Styela clava: one gene and its partners. The main gene of each other region encodes a partner of the protein of the gene in region 2 in a complex. Links are inferred from orthologs where the notes say so. Each region holds a gene or a part of one and is shown on either strand. Other genes may lie near its edges.

Region 1 (7,395 bases), on a different chromosome or scaffold from region 2:
TTAAATTGGTGTGCATAACAATGTAAAAAATGCGCACGAGGAAAATCTTCTTTTATATAAACTTGAACACCCACTCATGACTGCCGCGCCAAATGTTGTAAATAAATTTTATACATTGAGTCGAGAAAATCATTTTGGATATCCTTAGATGTCCCTTTCGACACAGTTGCGGCATCAAGATGATCTCTCAATACTGTATCTAGGGATGCGGTGTATTCCACCATATCCAAAAATACCCCTCTATTAGAAGAGCCAGCCCGTTCATCGTGCCCACGGAGGGACAGCCCGTGACAACCAATGAACTTCAAAACATCTATCAATCGACCGAGAACATGGCGGTTTTTCTCGACGTTTTGGTTGTGCCGACGAATAGAAACCGCGCGTCCTTCATCCAACTGTGCTGCAATAATAACATTTCCGAATGTTCGGTATTTTACTGCATTGTCCAGATGCTCCATAGAAGATTGATGATCCCTGGCACGCTCGGAAAGATGATTAAGATCTCTAAAACCAAATTTACACCAACGTGAGTCACGGGCGGTAGCAAAAAGTAGGCAATAAAAACAAAAAAGTGCATTTTTGTCCTCGCTGTAACACAACCATTCGTGTTTTTTATACCAAGTTTCTGCGCAGAATGTACGCCGACGCTTTCCTCCGTCATGGGATTGTTCCAGTGAACAATTTTTTGGTTGATAAGGCCCAAGACGTTGTACCTCTAGTTTTTGTTCCAGCGGGAGCTGCGAAAACGGAGTGCGAAGTAGTGCATCAACCTTATTCATTATGAGGTCTAAGGCTAAGAAATGCGAAGCCGGAAAGAAGTGAGGAGCTCAAAAGGAATGTGGAAAATCGAAAGCAAATGGACTAAAGGTCTCTAACTGATTCAAATAGCGAAACAAGCAACAAAAACGAAGGCGAGGAAACTATCAACTCTTCAAGCAACCAACGAACGAGAAGGAATGCGTGAATAAGTCAACACGTTGTTGTAAGAAACGTCGGCATTGTGTCGTCATAATATCGGGGCTAGCCCCGATCGGCCCTGATGATTTAGTAAAAGAAACAGAAAACAAACGAGACAAACGCGGCGAGTGGAAGATAAAAGAGAGAATACGATATACAATGAGCAACCGGGGCAAAATCGGCGTCGCCCCGTCGACGTTCGGCGAAGGCTTTGCGAGCGAAAAATGAACCATATCGGGAGAATATGGCTAGTGTAGACAGTCTGTGCAACCGATATTGAGGTATTTTTCCAATATTTTTTATTATACCGAAAAAACAACCGGGGCATTGCCCCGGTTGGCCCTATTGATGCGCCGCCACTGGGTCATGAACTGTCCGGAATTTTGCTTTTTCAAATATGGTGACCCTAGGTTAGATGTTCACATTGAACTTGGCTGTATTTATTACGTTTTCAGACGTTATTACATCATATATTTACGATTACACCCATTTTCATCTTTTCCGGGATGCCTAAAAAGGGCCTAATCGTGCCAGCTGGTGGCAATTTAATATTCCTGAGCAAAATAACTAGACGCAAGTGCATACATTGGATATTCAACTATGACTAGGGTAATCAGTAGCACCAATATATTCATATTATCGTCTTTTATTAGTGATTAGCCTCCTTTCATTTTTGAAGAGCGAAGGATATGTTGTGATCAAGAGCATGGACCCCTACCTAATACTACGTTACAACCCGCATTCTTGGGTTCACCCTTTGCACCTTGCATGGTCTATCTATAATCTGTTCTATATCATATCCGACTATTTTTAACTGATTCATTATTTTATTAAGTTATTACATCCATTTTCCCCCTTTTTCCTAAATTCCTATAAAATTGCCTTGTCGATCGTGCCTACCTGTACCAATTTATAATTCATGCATAAAACTTCCAGACTCAAATGCATTCATCGAAAATTCACCTAGTATCACTAGCATTTATATTTTATATTTATAGTCTTTTATTAGTGATGATTTATTTCTTTTTCCAAGTACCTAGCGTATGTGGTGATCAAGCGCGTGCGACTTCTTCTAAAACTACGTTTTAATCCTAATTAATGGATTTACTGGTTGCATTTTTCGTGTTCAACATTTAATTTGGCTAATTTTAACTAATTCATTTTCTTTTCAAAAGGTATTACGCCCATTTCATTATTTTTCCAAAGTGCATGAAAAGTCATAACCGGTTCCTGTAACAATTTAGGATTTACATATTTATCCAGGGGGAGAGGAAAGCCATAAGACGGCTTATCCATATGGAAAAACCACGGCCTCTCGTCCGGTTATCATTCCAAGTCGGTTGTGGGATAAGTTATTGGACACGTAGTGGACATAGCGATCGTTTCAATATTATGTTGTTGTTGTTGTTCTTGTTCTTGTTCTTTGACACGTTTTTAAAAAGTCGCTTTTCTCTGTGATGACTGGACCAATTGCTTTGAAATTTTCAGTGGTTGAAGATAAAAATTTTCTTCAGAAGGCTATTACTTTTTTTTACTGCAATGACGGCATCAGAATTATTGCCCTTAGGGGGCGCTACGTGTCCATATATTTGAGCATAGCTCTCTTGTATTGTTTGTTTTCGGAAACATGGACTTGGTGGTGGAGGAAGCCGTAACCGACCAGCGGTTACGTGAACCACCCAACGACGGCGAGGAGACTAGCAATCCTCTCGCACATAACCATCCCTGCATGGGATTCGAACCTGCGAACCCACGCAGAGTAATTAGAGGTGCGGTGGCGAGCGTATTCCTAACGCTTAGCCCGTTGAGCCACACCGCCGCGCCAGGACGGGTTTATTATTCTTCAATACCACTACTAGACTCAAGTGCATTCATCGGATATTCACTCAGGCTAATTAATGTGACTTATATTTTTATTTCTCGGTTTTTATTGTTATTGGTGATAATTTATTGTATTTATCGCGTTTTGTTAGACTTTCTCAACGGTGTCGCCGCTCGATAACCAGCTTTGGTTTTCGGCGTCTCCCTTCACCCTAAAATGCGATTTTTTTTATATATTTCTTTTAAATTGTGTATGTAGAATTCGTATTTTTCAGCATGATGAAAAAATAAATTACTGATTACTGACTGATTACATTCTTCATTTTTTTGAAGTGCCTAGCGTATTTGGTGAGAGAGCGCGTGCGACTTTTAGTACTACGTTTCAACTACAGTATCATTTTTGGGTTTACTTGTTGTACTTTGCGTGTTCAATGTTTAATTTGACTATTTTTACCTAATTCATTGTCTTTTTAAAAGATATTACGCCCATTTTACCCTTTTTCCGAAGTGCATAAATAGGTGCCTAATTTTTAGGTGCCTACTTTCAGTCCGTCCCCTGAAGGGTTACGGTACCGGTATCACTGGAATTTGCATACCGTACCGGTAGTTGTTAGGAATTTTGTCAGTTTGTTAAAGCGTAAATACGGTTAAAGTCTAAGCAGTCTTTCAGCTATTAGAATTTGACTAGATTAGCTTGAATAATTATGTGTGTTTAAAGTCAGATACTACAGTCAGACAGTACCGTACCGGTACCGGTACCGGTACCAGTAGCCTACGGTACTACAGGATAAATGGGAATTTAGATACAGTCTCTGTTGAGAGCCTCAATTTGCGTTGTTTTAGTTTTGTATGATGATTAAGAACTCGTACAGTCCAGCAGTCTGTAACTACCGGTACTGAACTACAGAACTAGATGTAAGATAAGATTATTTTGTTTTAATTTAGTCTATTAGAAATAGTGTAAAATTTTCATTTGCTAATTGTCATTTTTTATGTAACTATTGTTCATTTATGACATTAACAACATGAAAATTTGATACAACCAACTGGATAATACTGTACCGGTAATATGTACCGGTACCGGTATTTGAATAAATGAGACCAGTGGTTCCCAAACTGTGGATCGCGACCCCATCCGATTTTTTGGGGTCGCCTAACTTCTGCCGAACATACACACACAAGTGAATAGAATTTGAAAATTGTATAGTGAAATTTTTGCTGGCAAATACCGTAAAATTTCCAAACTTAGGATTTTTAGCAATATCTTGACCATTTGTTGTCCAAACAGTGCCAGAATGGCTCGATTCTTTTTATAGCTTTTTTGATCATCTTACATTCAAATAAATTGTAGACCCGCTGGTAAGCGAATTGGATTTAGACCATTGCCAGTCTGCGAGAAATTACGTTGGTTTTTTATTTTGTATCTGTGTAGCCCACCGTTTCTCAAATTGTATGCCGCGGCACGCTAGTGTGTCGCAAGAGCTTCTCAGGTGTGCAACGGAGCTTTTTGAAATTTTAGAAAATAAGCTATTCGTGTTACACATTCAGACATTGGAATGCATGCAACGGGCAAGCTTGTGAGACTTGAGTATCCGGTATTAGACTGGTAATATAATTACATTTGCCTTATCGATGTAGTACAGTAGTAAGAGTGATTTTCTACTATGACTGAAATTAAAAGCAAAAAAGGGAGCGACGGAACATCATTTCAATTGTTTCTCAAAACAGACCACACACATCTCATTAACATTTGCAGAATAATTTGTTTAAGGATAACTTTATTTTGTTACAAGTGTGCCGCAGGATATTTTTCATTTGCTTAGTGCCCCGTGAGCAAAAAAAGTTTGAGAACTACTGGTGTAGCCGCTTGGTTTGGAAGATACAAAGCAAAGTTGCTTTATTTGGCGAACGGTCCTTAGTTAGGTGTTTGACATGTTTGGTATTGATTACCAGGCGGTGTCTTGGCGGAGTATTGGCACTGTAGGTTTTGATCAGTTGCGAAAGCACTTTGTTAATTTGCGCACGTGTCCAAAATCTATGAGTCGGCTGCGTGTTTTGCCCACATTGACCCCACATAAAAGTGAACGTTTTCGTATTGCGATATTACGTATTCAGAAGTTTCATACATACTTTCAAAGCGTTCCGAGTAGTCAAACACAAAACCACAACAAGTTTTAGCATAATAGAAGGCACCTGAAAGATGTGATTTCGTTCACGTTTTCCCTATTTTACTCTCATGCTCCGTTTTAATTTAAAATTATTAATGGAGCAATCTGTATTATGTTAACATTGTAATCAAAATAATAAAGACACTGTTGGAATATACTAAATAAGATTTAAAATTTATGTATATTTAGAAGCATCTTACTATCTCCAAATCTCACTATTTCCGAAGTATCATAAGCTTCCTTACAGTTACAATCTACCACATTTTATCAAGTCCGTCTAGTACTGTAGGTTTCGCTAAAGAACCGTTAAAATCCTGATCTAAGAGATTTTTACACTGTGGTTTTCATATCATGCCATGTGTTATCAAATCTTCCGAAGTTCCCCCGTTTTCTGGCGCATTGACGGACTCGTTCATATATTTTTGGGCCAATGTTCATCGTCAACGTCCATTTACAGTAGATATACTGGTACATTGTTCCCATTGAGGTATTTAAAATGATACATAGTACTGATTTCTGAAGTTGCTCAACGTTTCTAGTTGTGGGTCGCGAGTATCTGTGGGCTTTGATTTTATGAAAATTGGGGTCGCGACAAAAAAAAGTTTGGGAGCCACTGAAATAGCAATACCGATGCTGAATTAATGGAACATACAATGGTGATGGGGATCTTATTGGATGGTAACATTTTATGTAATGTGATGAATATTGGAGTATTCCTGTTTTTACCACATAAAAAAAAAATCCTAACTCAGTAACTAGAGCCTCTATTATACTGTTATAGCAATACAGCACACTATCCAAATTCCAAGAATTTCCCTCCATTTGGCTCAATAAAAACAAACACTTTATGTGTCTCACAAAGGTGGGGCGTCTGGGATCACGTTAGATGCTTCATATCGCGCCATGCTTGTCTCAATAATATTCTAAATTAATCGCGGCCGCCACATGACCAAAATTGCTGTTTTTTGCTAAAAACTCTCAAATGCTACGGTAAAAATTTTTTCTTTCGATAAATCGGATTATTTTTTTCCGAGGAATTCAATGATGACGTTACTAAATTGCGCTTATTTGTAGTATTTGGCGCAACTTTATTATACTGTATTTTTACCGATATTGAGGGACAACAATGTCCAGACGTCTCCCTAAGGAGGGGTGTCTGATCATCTGTAAAATGGGTTTCTCTGAATTAGGACAATGTCACCCGACTTGTATAGTGTGCCGTACTGTATAGGTAAAATATTTATGTGAATTTGTCAAGTGGCTTCCTTGTCAGTTTGTCAATCGTAATCCTATTGGAAATCATTTTATTTGTCTGACTAAGGTGGTATGTATGTAATTCTGATTTTTGGATGCAGTCTTCATTTCATTACTAGCCTACTGTCTGACTGTACTATGTCTGTATGTCAGCATGCAGTAATAGTTTTTTTTTATTTTTTGTGCTTGACTGTCTGACTGTATGCAAAAATTTTTATTTTTCATTTTTTTGTTCACCAGATATTCTTTAATTCTGTTCCATCAAATTACACTATACAGCCATACATAATAATGAGCCTCTTGAGTTCAGCACACGACTTAATCAGGAAAAGAATGGCTGGGTTATCTACACCTCAAAATATTCGCAAGGATATGAATCAATATTTTCTAAACATAGAACAGTTATTAAAACGAACAGTTGAATTGGGAGAAAGCAATTCACTTCTTATTATTGGTCCAAGCGGATCTGGCAAGACAACATTACTGAAAAAGTCTTTAACAAACATTAAAAAAGATGTTAACATAGGGAAAAATTTGATGGAAGTACATTTAAATGGTTTAATTCAAACTGATGACAGAATTGCATTAGAAGAAATTACAAGACTATTACATCTTGAGAATACAGTTGGAGATCGCGTGTTTGGTTCTTTTTCGGAAAATTTAGCATTTTTATTGGAAGCTTTGCGGACAGGCAAATCGTCAACTTCTTGCCCTATTCTTTTCGTTTTGGACAATTTTGAGCTTTTTGCTATGCATAAAAATCAAACCCTGTTGTATAACCTTTTTGATATTACGCAGGCGGGTACTACACCTATGGCAGTAATAGGTCTCACTTGTAGACTTGATGTTATGGATTTGTTAGAAAAAAGAGTAAAATCGAGGTTTTCACATAGACAAATATATATTCATAATGGAAGTAATTTTGATCAATATGTAGCAACTTTCAAGGACTTACTCACTCTCAATGCGGATGATATTAAAACATTTGCTGGAAACAAGAATGAGAAAAATAAATTTCTGAAGCAGTGGAATAATTTTGTTGAAAAAATTACATCTGATTCATCAGTGCTTCGGTCACTTCAATTTCAGTTTGATATTTGCAAGGAAGTTTCTTCGTTGTACACTGCGCTTGCACTCGTATTGTTTAAATTAGATCCGTTTGCAAAGCCATCAGATACTGCAGGTGAAATAGTCG
Region 2 (7,525 bases):
AAGAGACACCAAGTTGTTACCATTTATAATCAATTGCATTAAAGCTGACAGTGAACTTATATCTTTCGACAAACTTGTGATTCCACATTCTGAAACTTCCAGAAAATTCAGCAGTGTCAAAGAATATAGATCCTCGGGAAGAACATTGTCATTCTTTTCTATCTTCAATCTTGTATCCGGTGTTCCTTTAATGACCAATTCTCTCCTCTTCTCTTCCTTACATTGAGCAATTTCAGGCCAATCGGACATTGAAATTTGCTACTTTTCAAGTTGGACAAAATAAATTAACAATCTGTTTAAGAAAAAGTGATAAAGTGAATTATTAAGCACAAAAATGCAGTGAGATTTTTTCTTTGTAGTGAGAAAAGGCATATATGACGAAAAATAAATGCAGGAATCACCAATGTTATAAATAGCCCATTGTATATTCATCCCATATATGGGCAAGAACATGGAATGCTTATATTTGATACTGTATTCCAGAGTACTGACGACTATGAAATTTCATCTTCTCATTTCAAATATTAATTTGTTATTTATAATTCATATTTTTGAGCAGCTTTATTATCAAAAATCCCTTAAACAAAACCATTCAAATGTCTCCAGCAAGAACCAAAACAGAACATTATTGATGAAAATGGAATACGCTGAAAAATCAGTTTTGAATCATGAACAAATAAATAACGATTTCAGGAATGAGACCAGGTTAATCGTTGGACATGATCAGTCTTTCGTTTTGTAGGTTTGATAAAACCTAGGAATTGTAATTCTGACGCAGCTCTGATAAATCGAGCCTGAGTAAATTTGTTGATTTCTTCATTTTGATTGTTTTCTTTATCACTATGTGGATTATTGTCGCCAGAATTTACAATTGTATGAAATGCTTCCAACCAATCATATAAATTTATAATTTTCCCACATTCATTATGCAATTTGTATGCAATGGAGACATCCGGTGCAGAAGGTGGAATAACACCATCAGTAGCATCCAAGCAAGGCTGTTGTAAATAACAATTGGGATCTGACAATGCTGTTTGAATTGCAAGTCGTGGTGCTGCTATCATATGCCGTTTTATAGTTGATGTAGAATCAAAATAAAAAATTTCATGAAACGGAAATGATCTTGGAGGAAGTAATATTTTTGTAAACAAGACATCCAAAATTTCAAGTGCTTTGATCCTCAGTTTCTCAAACGTGGACATTTTTTTAACTTTCTTTTCATGTGCCTTTTTCTTCAAATTTTCTTTCAGCTGATAAGCATATTTCACTTTTTCAAGGGGTTCATCCTCCTTTTGTTCTGCAATATTCTCATCTTCTTCATTTTGAGGCAAGTCTTCTTCTTTTTGATCTTCAGGATGTAGTAATTCATTAATAACTGAATTTATTTCTGACTTTGCATCAATAACCATGGCAAAAATGTTTGAATTTGGTCTTGCATTCTGTGGCATATCATCCAGTTCTTTAACACAAGACTGTAATCTTTGAATCAGTTGATCCCTTGAAGATACTCGCAAGAACATCTTTGCTTGTTTGTATTCATCCGAATTAACGATAGGCCCATGATCGCATGCGCAATACAGCTCTCGTAAATGACGTCCCAGTGGATGACGTGGAAGTGATTTACAAAGAGAAAACAATGAACGCATCACAGGATAAAAGCAGTGATGAAATTCATGAATATCCTCCAACATTTTTTTCACTAAAATTTTAAAATCTTCATCAGAACTTTGCAAAAGTTCTTTTCGTTTTGTTGTTAAAGATTTGAAATAAGTTTTAACAGACGGTAAATCACGAAGTTTTTGTAGAAGTGAACCAGACAATTTTTCATGATACTTGTTAGCTTCTGCGATATTGTTTGTGCAAAATAACGAAGTTGGCTGCTCATAAAAATGGTTAAGCACACAAAATTTCAGAATGTGCAAAAAAGTTGTTACAGAAAAATCGTGGCACAGGAAAACATCAAGTAATAACTGCATGCATTTCCCACTCAATTTAAATGAATAACCAGAAGTGAGTAAAATGTTGTCAATAATCATAGCAAGATGTTTTGATGCTGTAGGAGAATGAAATTTTTCGAGACAAAGATGCACAGTGGCTGAATGGGGCAGTTGGCGATCAATCACACTTGTCCATGAAGTCGCAACCCCAAATATGAATATAACTGGAAAAGTATCAACAGTTGTACTAAACATTGCAATTAAATCTTGTAATAAATATGGAAGAAAGGATTCCATATCTCGCAGCATAATTACAATGGGAGGTGTATTTGATGACAAACTCTTCTTGCTTTGTTTTCTTTTCTTACTTTCTAAGGAATTATCAGCTTGCGAAAACCATTTTTCAAGTAGGGGCATTGTTAATGGTGCTGATCTTTTCCAAATAAAATTATTTGATTTGTCAGTTTCAAGATCCCCAGTATCTTCAACAGAAACATTGTGCAGATCTTCGGCTTCTCCTAATATGAGCTGCTGCCCAATGCAACGCATTAAACTTTTCATATTCAAACAATTTTTGGAGCATAAAACTGCAACATGTGGAGTGATTGTTTTCGAAACTTCCTCTGATAACTGGTGAAAAAATCCAGCATGATCTGGCATATTAACACCAGTAATAAGAGCAGCAGCTGGGATTTCAGCTCTTTTTCCTCCAACTTCACGATTAGAGCTATGAGAATTTTTTAAAAAATCAATCAAATCAGATAGTATGTTTGCAGTAAGATCTAGATGTAAATTCCTAATTTTACATTCCATATCTATCCATACTTTTTGCGAAAGCTCCCATCGAGTTTTGCTTGACTCTGAACATGAAAAGTACTTTCCTGCGTTTATATCTTGAATTGTTTTCTTCTTTTTTTTGGCTGGTAACACGAAACATCCCTTCGACACAGAAGTTAAACTTTTGTTATTCATAATAAATAATAATTAACTAGCCTAAATCCACAAAAAGAAGTTGTTTTATGTCCTGTTCGGGCAGACAATCAATCCTTTCTGTTTCAGTCATTTACCAATCCCTGCATCCACGCTGAGTTTCAGAGTAACATGCCAAAAAAGGGGCTTCCCCATCGAATATACTTTACACCAGGGGTCGGCCGGCAACCTTTTGTCGCTCGCGGGCCAAATTTAAGGGTTGTACGGTAAGTCATTGGCGGGCCGCACATATTTTCAGAAAGTTGATAACCGAACGGATGATACGTTTTATAATAAAAATCAAGCAGTGATACATCTCTCGAAGAGAATATAGATTTATTTTCTCATTGCATTGCATCTCAAAATATTCCATTTCAATATTCGGCACCATTGAACCCTTTGCAGTTAGCATCAACTTTTCTGCGTTTTGTTGCAATTCGTCTAATTATATTAAATTATATTCTCATTAAGCGAGTTATTGTGAATTTTATACTTGTTAGAATATAATATATTTTGGTCTAAACGTGACTCACAATAAATTCTGTTACGTGAAGAATATAATCGCCAAAACAGCTGTTTTGTTACTATAGTTCAGTAAAGCGTCGCAGGCCGGATTATATTACTCCGCGGGCCGGATTATATTACTCCGCGGGCCGAATCCGGTCCGCGGGCCGTAGGTTGCCGACCCCTGCTCTACACATTCACGCGTTGAAAGTGGCCAGGGAGAGAGGGAGAGCAAAGTCAACAAATTGGATTTTATTATAATTTCGGGAAATGGGAAAGTCTTTGATATGCTTAGAAGATGTGATACACCAGGCTAAACGTTTTCAACTTGCTTATCATACTAACATTTCAAAGATAAAATCTTAAAATAAAATAAAACCGACCGAAAGACATACGGTGTTAGTCGATGGTGACTTTTTGGAAAAATGTCAACTTTTTGTCATTCAATTCAGAAATGATTTCTATTTATGGGAAGCTAAAGTTGGCACTTAAAAGTAGAGCAATAATGCCCAGCAGACGCAAAAACTTGTCAAACCAATTTCATTGGATGGCAGACGAAAACAATAAGTTTGTATATATGGTGAAAAGTATTAACAACGGCTAACCTACTGCTGAGAAAAATGACAGAATGCCACCTCCCATGAAAACATGATAGTCTTCATCTTATTATTCGAAAACGTGCAATTTTGTTTCCAGATGTCGTATATGAAAATAGCTAATCAGTTATTTCATCAGGTGAATGGACTTGCACACTGGACACGTCTTTCTGCATCATTCTTGACGGTGGAATGTAAAAAATTAAAAAATGTTCAAATTAGTCATGTGAATGTTTTGCTGTTATTTTCTATCATAGTTGCATTACCACTTGCGGCGGAGTGAAATTAAAGAAAATGGAATATTGGTTTAGACCAACAAATTGACAATTTTTATCTGTGAACATCGGAAAAATTTTCCACAGTGCTCCAGCAATACCTTAAGTTTTCGATAAACGCAGCGCCTAGGTACCAAGATGTACCGTATTCAAGAAGCGATTTTCGCAACCGCTGCAGTATCCACTCGAAATAAATCTAGATGATAAACAGTTACATACAATTCAGTGATTCCCAAAGTAGGCGATATCGCCCCCGGTGGGCGAAAACGATACAGAAGAGGGCGAAAAAGTCGAGGGGGGCGATTTGGCGAAACCTGTTTTTGTTGGGCGCATCGTGCACTTGGATACTGTACTCTGCGTGCTTTCGTAGGTTTCAATCACGTGGGCAATTATCACACGCGAAATGATTGCTGGACTCGTCTACGCCGTAAGGTACGGTAGTTTGCGTATCCCAGTGTTCGGTAAAATACGGCCGGAGTGAAATATTCTGGCCCGGGACGCTTCACTGAATGGACCTTTCTCTGACCTTTGACCCCGGTAAATTCTTTCTATATTTCGGTGCGTATTTTGGGAGTGGTTTCGCGGGTTGTCGCCTGTAAAATTGGGTATTTGTTTCAAACTATCATTCTAATTCATAACATTCAACAATCTGTTTTTTAAAAGTACCAGTAAAGAATTTAAGCCTAGTCTCGTCACAGCTATTTCTACACTAATTTTTGATTACTGCAATTAAACTGAAACTCCCATAAAGACAAAGTGATCATTGAATTATTTGATTTATATTCAAATTTCCGAAACACAACTAAAAACTAACGAATATAATTCAGAAAACGCGAAAATGGGTAGCCTAATGTTTACAACCACGCCTCAAAATCTGTTTGAGTGAGAAAAGTGTCTGAGCAGTTGCGAAATGGGGCATTCTTACGTTTATTTTTGCATCGTGATGATTGGCCAATGTCACGAAGTAAACGAGGAAATCTATGCCCGAGGAAACATCCATTATACAGACAACACGGCGGTTTTGACGATGAATTAATTTTATTTATAATCTACGCTCGAGGAGTAAATTACATTTTGTACGTAACAGAATTTATCGGGGGACACGTTTAGACTGAATTATATTATATCCTAACAATTTAGTGAACAGCTAGCTCGTTTAACGAGCCTACAATTTAAAAATTGTTTTGTTTATAATTCGCAAAATTTAAACAGATATCTTCAACAAAAAGGTCGAGTAGTGAGCGTTTTCTCAAGCAGGCGATGGTGAACAAGCCTATCGAAGAAGCATGGTTGATAACACAAAGTTCGCCTTGCATCTTAAGTAAGTCAAATAAATATGTAAAACAATTATTCTGGTAGAGGAAATTATCGATTACTAATTTTAGATTTTGATTCTCAGGATTGCTCGAATATGCCAGTACCAAGCACGAATACCCACGGTTGTTCATACAGAAAATGGCGAGCGAAACAACTTTGGAAGAGTATCGGACAAGATCTCCGATAACGAGAACATGCAGCATGCCAAATTTAGGTAAGTTAGTAAAGCTAAATGATAACATAAATTCTTAATATTGCATGTATATAATTAAGTTTTGCGACTATGGAGGGTTGCCTGTATGGAAATGTAGCAGATTGATTCCCGACCTTTTATGGTTTGTGGTCCCCTTCAGAGGTTTTTAGTAGGCTACTCATGCCCCCACCCCCCTGTTTGTAATTTCATTGGTATTTATAGTAATATTTTAATTTGTAGATTCTAATTACCGTTATGTTTAAACAATTCATGCACAAAAAGTGAAAACCTTGTCAAGCAATGAAACTTGAAATAACGGAGAGTTTCCTTGTAAAGGGAGAAGTAAAATCAGTTTTGCTCCTAAATTGGTGGCCCCCTCCAACTGTTATGTGCCCCCCGTTTGAGAGCCTTGGGTCCCGGTTGGGAACCGTTAGACTGTAGCATAATTTTATTTTATATGACACAGAAGCAAGAACAACATATCAGATGAAACTATTATCTTGAATTTAAAATCAACAAAACTCATTGATGTAAAATTCATCCCTACGTTAAACATGTTGGAATTTATTTTTAGGATATGCATATATGAATTTGGAATGTGAAAAACATGAAGCTACGGAAGCTCATTTTGAAAACCCGGTGGAAAACTCGGTCTTAATTCCTCAACCTCTAGAAGTCTTGTTGCCAAGCAATTCTTAATTGAGTGAAAACAGGATGGCAGTTGAAAGCCTATTAATCGAAGAAGATATTGGTGTTTGGTAATTATCCCATTGTGCTTTTTTTCAACGGTATATGACTTTACAAACTTTTCATTTTACTTGTCGTAATTAATTGACGAATAAAACAGACCCAGTGAATCGCAACTACATATATCGTTGTGTAGGCCTACAGATAATTACAAAATGTTCACCAGCAATACAAGATAGACTGATCAAACCCACGGAAAGTCCGAGCTTTGAGCGTTCTAATATTCCGCACACCTGACAATGGGGCTATCGGGCTTTATAGTGCAATAATTTTCTTCATTCAAAGACGCGTACTTGTTGCACTTTACTGCTATTTGGATTACAACAGGAAGTCCATTTGAATTTGCGTTTATTCGACTGACATAGGATTCTCGTCGGGTTACCAACCGCCTGCGTAAAGTTCTGCGATTCCCTCGCACATATTCATTTCTCGTAAAATTCGCACTCATAAGTCCACGCAAGGCAATAGAATTTTGCCCCTAAATTTATATCTTAGAAATAATTTAAACCATTTGAATCAGGTAATCAGTTTCAAAAAACAATTCGACATTTATGAATGTTTATTCGTTTCGTCAGCCTTGTGGATACAAAGGTTGACATCGAAAACGAGCCTATAATACCCAGGCGAAACGAAAGACGAATCTATCCTCTTGGACAGAAAAGAAAATCGGAGGGAATGAGAACAGCCAATTTCATGAAGTGCCTCTTTTATCCAATTGCTCGTTGTTTTTGGTTGGCGGCGTGAAGAGAAAGACTAACAAAATATATTTGATACAATCTTTGTGAGTGAGTGTGAATGAGTCGATATTTTAGTGCCAGTTTTTTTCTTAGTTCTGAGTTCTTTTAAAAGTAAATTTAGGATATTGTATTCAGTGTCATTTTTAGTTTGATTATATGTACGAGATGATTGACCTATTTTAGAAATTTAATTGGAACTGTTCATAACAAAACAAATAGTTTGTGCAATTATTCAGTGATTAGTGCATTT
Region 3 (7,537 bases), on a different chromosome or scaffold from region 2:
ATCGTTGCGACAAGAAAACGAGAGAAATAACTGTTTGATTTCGGGTGCTCGTTTGCGCATCTTGGATAGTAGTTCGTATAGTTTGAAGGGCTCTATTACGTCACTGTGACGTCGTGTTGATGTAGTTTTGGGATGGTGTAGTCAGGTGGGGGTTGGGATTGATACGTGAAAAAATTGTCATGCTACGCCCACTAGAAGTATGTTAGGTACTAAACTACATGAGACCCGGGATCGCGACGAGAGAACGAGAGAAATAGCTGTTCGATTTCGGGTGCTCGTCTTGGATGGCAGTTCGTATAGTTTGAAGGGCTATATTAGGTCACTGTGGCGCAAATTTTAGATGGCGTAGTCAGGTAGGGGTTAGTATTGACAGGTGAAAAAATTGTTATGCTATGCCCACTAGAAGTATGTTAGATACGAAACTACATGAGACCCATTATTTTTCCTAGAAATCCAATGGCTGAATGGTGATTTTTTTTGATTGTCCTTTTATTTTTTTTTGCACTCTGCCGATTTGAAGACCCTGACAGTCTCATAAAGAAGGGGTTAGCACTCACAGTTATACCAGTAACAGTAATTGATTTTCTCACGTCTCATGTAGTTTCGTACCTAACATACTTCTAGTGGGCGTAGCATGACAATTTTTTCATGTATCAATCCTAACCCCCACCTGACTACGTCATCCAAAAATTACATCATTACGATGTCACGGTGACGTAATAGAGCCCTTTAAACTATATGAACTGCCATCCAAGACGCGCAAACGATCACTCGAAATCGCGCGGCGGTGTGGCTCAACGGGCTAAGCGTTAGGAATACGCTCGCCACCGCACCTCTAATTACTCTGCATGGGTTCGCAGGTTCGAATCCCATGCAGGGATGGTTATGTGCGAGAGGATTGCTGGGCTCCTCGCCGTCGTTGGGTGGTTCACGTAACCGCTGGTCGGTTACGGCTTCCTCCACCACCAAGTCCACGCTTCCGAAAACAAACAATATAACTAATCCCATACCCGACTTGGAATGGTAACCGGACAAGAGGCCGTGGTTCGCCATATGGATAAACCGTCTTATCGGCTTTCCTCTCCCCCGGGATAAATATGTAAATCCTATCCTATCCTAAATCGAACAGTTTTTTCTCTCGTTTTCTCGTCGCAACGATTTAAATAGGAAAGAGATCGATAACGTCAGTCAGTGCTTTATTGTAGGCGCTAATGCCATTTCGGGCGATTGTACGTATATTTGGCAAGCTCTGTGACGTGATTGTGATGTCGTAGTGACGTAATTTTTGGATGGCGTAGTCAGATGGGGGCTAGAATTGACATATCGAAAAATTGTTATGCTACGCCCACTAGAAGTACATTTGGTATGAAACTACACGAGACCCATTTTCTCTAATGTGGAGGCTATTCTTGCAATCGGAGAACTGTACGATACTGTCTAAAACAAAAAATATCCACCAGCATTCGTGAGAATATTTTCTTCCCATTTTGCCATATTATTTTTGTTTTTTTAGTTTCCCCTGTAGTTTGGGTTGTAATATTTTAGTTAAATCCAGTTTATAAAATGTATTCAAGATTTGCAAAGAATTTAATCAAGCCTGCGAGACAGCTGAAGCAGGTTGTTCAACGCGGAGATGCAACACGAGCTGTTGTACAAGTCAATACTCCAGAAACACGAGTAACAACTTTATCCAATGGATTCCGAATTGCAACTGAAAATTCTGATCTACCGACATGTACTGTTGGTTTATGGATTGACGCTGGAAGTCGTTACGAATCCGAGAAGAACAACGGTACTGCGCACTTTTTAGAGCACATGGCGTTTAAAGGAACATCAAATCGCTCTCAATTGGAATTAGAATTGGAGATTGAAAACATGGGTGCACATCTTAACGCTTATACTTCTCGTGAGCAGACTGTGTATTATGCGAAAGCATTTTCGAAAGATCTACCACAGGCCGTCGAAATTCTCGCTGATATTATTCAAAACAGCACTCTTGGAGAAGCAGAGATTGAGCGCGAACGAGGCGTGATTTTGAGGGAAATGGAAGAAATCGAACAAAACCAACAAGAAGTTGTTTTCGATTATTTACATGCGACTGCGTACCAAAATACTCCGCTGGGTTTAACGATCTTGGGGCCGAGTGAGAACATCAAGTCGATAACACGAAATGATTTGGTAACGTATATCCAAAGTCGATACAAGCCATCTTCAATGGTCATGGCAGCAGCGGGGGGCGTCGACCACGACAAACTGGTTGAATTAGCGAAGCAATACTTTGGAGCTACGGAATCCAGTGTAGCAGAATCCCTATCAAATAGCCTTAAACCTTGCCGCTTCACTGGAAGTGATATGCGACATCGGGACGACAGGATGCCATATGTTCATGTTGCCCTTGCAGTTGAAGGAGTTGGATGGGATCACTATGACACCATACCACTGATGATCGCGAATCAAATTATTGGAACATGGGATCGCTCTTCGACTAACGGAGCTCATTTTCCGAATCCTCTCATGCGTAGAATGGCAAACGAAAACCTTTGCGTTAGCTTCCAGTCATTCAATACTTTGTACACTGACACTGGTCTATGGGGAATTTATTATGTTACAGATAACGCAAATGTGTTTGATTGTACGGTCCGTATTCAAGATGAGTTAATGAGAGTCTGTCACCAAATCTCAGATTTCGAAGTTGAGCGTGCGAAAAACACGCTTCTTACTAACATGGCAATTATGATGGACGGGACGACCCCAATTTGCGAAGACATCGGAAGACAGATGTTATGTTACGGACGCCGAATCCCGTGGCCAGAAATGACAATGAGAATCCAACAAATCGGAACCCAGGATGTCAAAGATGCGATGCAAAAATACGTTTACGACCAAGACCCCGCTGTTGCGGCTATCGGACCCACAGAAGCTTTGCCAATGTACACCAACATTCGTGCTAAAATGTACAAAGTACATTCTGGATTATTTAACTAAAATGACTCTCAATTCTGCAGAAATAACTTTAAAAAAATTTAAAATTCTGTCTTTTGCTGTTTTTTATTGAAAAGTGTTCTCAGTTTTGGGCATTTTGATTCTTTTTAGTCATTGGTGGTGATATATTTTTCCTTCTTTGAGTTTTTTGGGTAACTTATTCTGTTATTTATGGTTATTACTTATATCAAAACTCTAAAAGTTTCATAAATATAGCGTAATACAGTGCGAGTCGCTAGAAAAAAGGAAAATTTGTCAAACAGCTATTTATTTATAAAAAGAATAACTTGTGCAAAGATTTTCAAAGGCATACCGTATTTGCTCGTTTTGTAGCCCGGGCCCATATTTATTTTAAAAACTCACTAACCGGGGCCCTTATTCAAACCGGCCCTTATTCAAGCAAGGGCGCTTGTTATTTTTAAAGTAAAATTCTACACAAAAATTACGATATCTTTGAAGACAAATATTTGACGACATTAATCCGTTGTGACAAAAGCGCTTCTTATTTCCTTAGCGCCCTTATTTGTTTTTATGTTCTGTTCACACGGGCGACTATTCAAACGGGCCCTTAATCAAGATCGGGCGGTAAAACGAGCATATACGGTATGTTATATTCCACTTATAGATGCTCAAAATGATGTCCACGCACTTCAGAGCGATGTCTTAACCTAGAAGTCCAAGCTCGTGTAGTGTTTTGAAGGTTAACTTGTGGGATATTGTTCCAATTCAACCTATACCTATACTCATTTTATTCATGATCTCGTCTTACTTTCAAATTTTCTGCTCTTCTAGCGACCATTCTGTATGATATTTCATTACCTGGGTTGGCAAGTTCTGTTATATTAATAGAAAATCTTGATTAATTTTCATCAAATGATTGTATTATTCGATATTTCAGCTTTGAGTACTATTCTGTTGGTGTTATTGTTACAAAATCTCTGATCATTTTTTTTTGTACTGTTTATCTTACTGATAAGATAAGTTCAGATAAGAAGCTAGGTTATTACCTTCCAACTTATCCTAATCTATGATAAAATAGAATCGAAGAAAAGAGATCTCAAATTTATAATAAAATTTGTCGTTCCATATTTAAAAGTATCATCTTATAATGTATTCAGAATAGTAGATTCTTAGATTTGAATATCCTCTGATTTAAAATAACTATCCTTTGACATTACTAGGTCAGCCATAACTCCATATAACTAAAATAAAACTCAGTTTTCATTTGCTGTCAAATCTCCTATTGTTATGTCATAAATATATTATTTGCTCATAATATGTTCCAATTTGAATTCTGAATGCTCAACTGTTGTGCTTTTTTGTTTAACTTAGTTATTTTAGTTAATTTAACATAATTTATAATAGTTATATGCAACAGAAGCTTCACTCAAAGGAGATTCTCACAATATTCAGAAAACTTCAAGAATCAAGAGTGCATTAACTGTGACCTGGCCTGGAGAAATTTCCATAAAAACTGTTCACAATTATCAGTTCACCGTGGAAATATTGTCCTATAAGTGACAGCAATTGTCCTAGAAGTGACACAGCGTTCCTCTGAAAAACATTTGGTTACAAAGTTGAGTGTTCTTGAACTTGTATAGATGCGTTTAGTTGGACATGTGTGTGACCTGTCTTGGAGCAAGTCCTCAAAAAGCTTTTAATACTTTGCTCAGCGGGAATGCTATTTCTCGCCTTGCCTCTGTAGAGCATTTGGTTGTGTATTTTTTCTTTTCGCACACTAACAAAGAAAAAACTTGAAAAACTATTTTTTGGAAACTTAACATCTGGAATCCTCAAAAAATTTCGGCTGAATTTGGAAGAAGAAGAAAGGTTTATTTCCAAATTTTTCGTACCAGTTCAATAAACCATGTCAAAAACCCCAAGCCGACGATCTGTTCTTGTAAAACATGTCGGAAATGAAGATGTGGAGCATCACGTTACTATGCTTGGAGTCAAGAACCAACGAAAAACAAGATCTTCTATGGCAATAGCAGCGGAGTTCTTTAACGATGTCCCAAAAATTGAGAAGAAAAAGCCTTCTGAGAACCCTAAAAAGAAAGAAAAAAGCGTCAAATATGCGGAAAATGAAGAAAAAGACATTTTGAGTGAAATCACGTCACTCGTTCCGACATCTCTACTTGAAAGTAACGTACAATATGGAGGAGTAGATGTGTACGGTTTTAAAACTCCGAAACGAGCTAAACAAATGTCGAAACTAGCGTCTGAATCTGCAAGAAAAGTATCCAGTGCAAAACAATCGGCGAATAATGAAAATAACGATCCATTGGTTGAAAAAAGTAACTCCAAAACGCCGAAGAAAAAATCGAAGACTTCTAAGACACCTTCCAAACCAGCCACAGAAATAGAGCCTAAAACACCAAGTGTTAAGTTCGCTGAAAATGACACCGACAGTTCATCTAAAACGCCAGGTAAAAAATCGAACAACGATGCACTTGATACACCAACAAGAACCTCGAATCGCACAAAAAAATATCTTGTTCAAGAGATGCAAGCTAATCAACAAGTTGACGATAATTCTGACTCCAGTGAAGAGGAAAATAGTGAAGATGAGGAAGAACAAGATGAACGACAAGGTTTGCGAATTAAACTATCTTGGTTGAGTTCATGTCTCATGCGAATCAGCATGGACTTATGAATCGTTTTAGATAGGTTATGATTTACATATTTATCCCGGAGGATGGGAGAGCCGATAAGATTGCTTACCGTAATTATATGGCAAACCACGGCCTCTCGTCCGGTTGCCAGTTCGCTGGGTGTTGTGGCGAACATATTCCTAGCGCACAGCAGGATGTGTTGGTATTTTTTTTTCGTAGTTACCTTATTGAAAAATCGCTCTTGGACTAATTGCCTCTAGAATTTATAGTGTTTAAAGATTGTAATTTTCCTAGAAGGCTAAAATTTATTTCAAAACTTGCTGTGGTATCTATGGCATTTGATCTTTTTTGTGCAATGATGTGCCGGCTTCGCATTCATTGCTATCTGGTAGTCAGACGAAGTCATGAAAACTGCGGTACTGGTAGTCTACTGTTAAAGATTGCATACACCACACATAGGCCTACTACTTTGTTATGGTATTCTTGTCCATATATTTGTGAACTCAACTGTTAATTTATCATTTTCTTAACTGGCATATTTTTCTTAGATCAAACCCCAGTGCCGCAGCCATCAAAAAGAATTGCCTTGCCATCGGAAACAGAGCTTTATTTCGAGGCTCATAAAAGTGGAAGAAAATTGGGTGCGAGTACTTCTGATCGAACTCTAGCACGACTAAAAATACCTCAAATGAACCAAGAAACAATGCATTCTATCTTAGAGGAATTACAGAACAATAAAATCGCGGGATTAAAAAATTCTAATCCGCATATGTTCAGCAAAGTAGAAAAAATCGAGCTTTCTCGCCAGTGGCTGATTCAAGGCTATGAAGAATACTTTCGTAAATGGATGTTTTATATTTTTAACGATTATAATATTCTACTATACGGACTGGGATCAAAACGCCACCTAGTGCATGAATTTTGTGAAAAAATGCTCTCAGAGTTTGATAAAATTGTTATAAATGGTTATTTTCCGAGTTTAATTATACGCTCAATTTTGGCGTCAATTTGCGAGGTTGCGGACGTAAATATCACCATCGGAGGGAGCCAACAGCAGGCTCAAGTTGACGCAATATGTAAAAAATACACAGACAATGGGTTTGTTGATCATTTATTCTTGATAATTCACAATATTGATGGAACAACTTTACGAAACAATAAGACTCAAAATATTTTAAGTCGCCTAGCGTCGTGTCCACGGATTCATGTTATTGCAACCATAGACCACATAAATGCTCCCCTTATATGGGACCAATCCAAGTTATGTCGATTCAAATGGCTCTGGTACGATGTAACAACGTACGAACCTTATAAAGACGAAACTTCATTTGAGGATTCGCTTCTTATGTTGACCAGTGGAACTGGTATTGGTGGTTCATTAGCTCTAAGCGGCCTCGTCCATGTGGCAAGAAGTTTAACTCCTAATGCTCGAGGAATTTTTAAACTTCTCACAGAGTTTCAAATCGAGGAGTCAAAATCGAGTAATTATATCGGACTCTCTTTTTCTGATTTGTATCAGATGTGTCGTGAAAAGTTTCTCGTCAACAGCGAACTAACGCTGCGGACTCAACTTACGGAATTTCTCGACCATAAACTTGTTGAAATCAAAAAAGGTATTGACGGTGGCGAATACCTCTCTATTCCCCTCGATAACGCTACTTTGCAAGAATATTTAGATCAATCACTTTGAGAATGAGGAATTTTGTTAGAATGGAAGGTGATTACTTGTTTTTGAGGTGTTTTCACACTCCTCCAAGCTTTGTTCGCCTAATATCCACTGTTCAGAAACCGTCATTTTCACTCTGATATTCATGTTTTATTTTCACTGAAGTTCGCTGTCATTTTTTGTGAACTAGACCAGAATCTTTTCAGTTCAGAAACTGAATTGATTGATTTTCAGTTGCTTTTTTCACCCATGTCTGGGCTCCACTGATATGTGA

What was found.
Region 1: the proteins of origin recognition complex subunit 3-like (region 2) and origin recognition complex subunit 4-like are in contact, whole or in part, in a crystal structure (PDB 4XGC), measured with the Drosophila melanogaster proteins. The link is inferred for Styela clava from reciprocal best matches to the Drosophila melanogaster genes Orc3 and Orc4. Residues at the interface, in NP_476904.1 of Drosophila melanogaster: Ala217, His250, Gly251, Leu253, Pro254, Tyr255, His256; in NP_477320.1 of Drosophila melanogaster: Lys395, Glu398, His399, Ile402, Lys419, Lys422.
Region 3: the proteins of origin recognition complex subunit 3-like (region 2) and origin recognition complex subunit 2-like are in contact, whole or in part, in a cryo-EM structure (PDB 7JK6), measured with the Drosophila melanogaster proteins. The link is inferred for Styela clava from reciprocal best matches to the Drosophila melanogaster genes Orc3 and Orc2. Residues at the interface, in NP_476904.1 of Drosophila melanogaster: Gly10, Cys11, Phe12, Val13, Tyr14, Lys15, Asn16, Ala18, Thr19, Arg20, Ser38, Leu39, Leu40, Tyr50, Tyr53, Arg54, Asn106, Pro108, Arg135, Asp136, Ala142, Arg177, Arg180, Asp308, His312, Gln316, Lys319, Tyr320, Met323, Phe327; in NP_731873.1 of Drosophila melanogaster: Ala331, Ile332, Lys342, Met344, Cys345, Ile346, Leu347, Asn348, Glu349, Phe351, Tyr356, Leu358, His369, Lys375, Thr377, Val378, Leu379, Val380, Val381, Asn382, Phe385, Asp392, Ser396, Asp400, Ile401, Leu402, Asp403, Asn410, His412, Glu413.

Annotation. Positions count from the first base shown.
Region 1 is NC_135254.1:23,097,752-23,105,146, forward strand, and holds the start of origin recognition complex subunit 4-like, read left to right. Parts: upstream 1-4,327; 5' UTR 4,328-6,491; coding exon 6,492-7,395.
Region 2 is NC_135256.1:21,541,465-21,548,989, forward strand, and holds origin recognition complex subunit 3-like, read right to left. Parts: upstream 3,075-7,525; 5' UTR 2,910-3,074; coding exon 690-2,909; 3' UTR 292-689; downstream 1-291. Other genes in the region: leucine-rich repeat-containing protein 47-like, read right to left, coding at 1-249.
Region 3 is NC_135262.1:2,458,311-2,465,847, forward strand, and holds the start of origin recognition complex subunit 2-like, read left to right. Parts: upstream 1-4,467; 5' UTR 4,468-4,849; coding exon 4,850-5,576; intron 5,577-6,145; coding exon 6,146-7,287; 3' UTR 7,288-7,537. Other genes in the region: mitochondrial-processing peptidase subunit beta-like, read left to right, coding at 1,564-2,985. UniProt on the Drosophila melanogaster protein: Component of the origin recognition complex (ORC) that binds origins of replication. DNA-binding is ATP-dependent, however specific DNA sequences that define origins of replication have not been identified so far.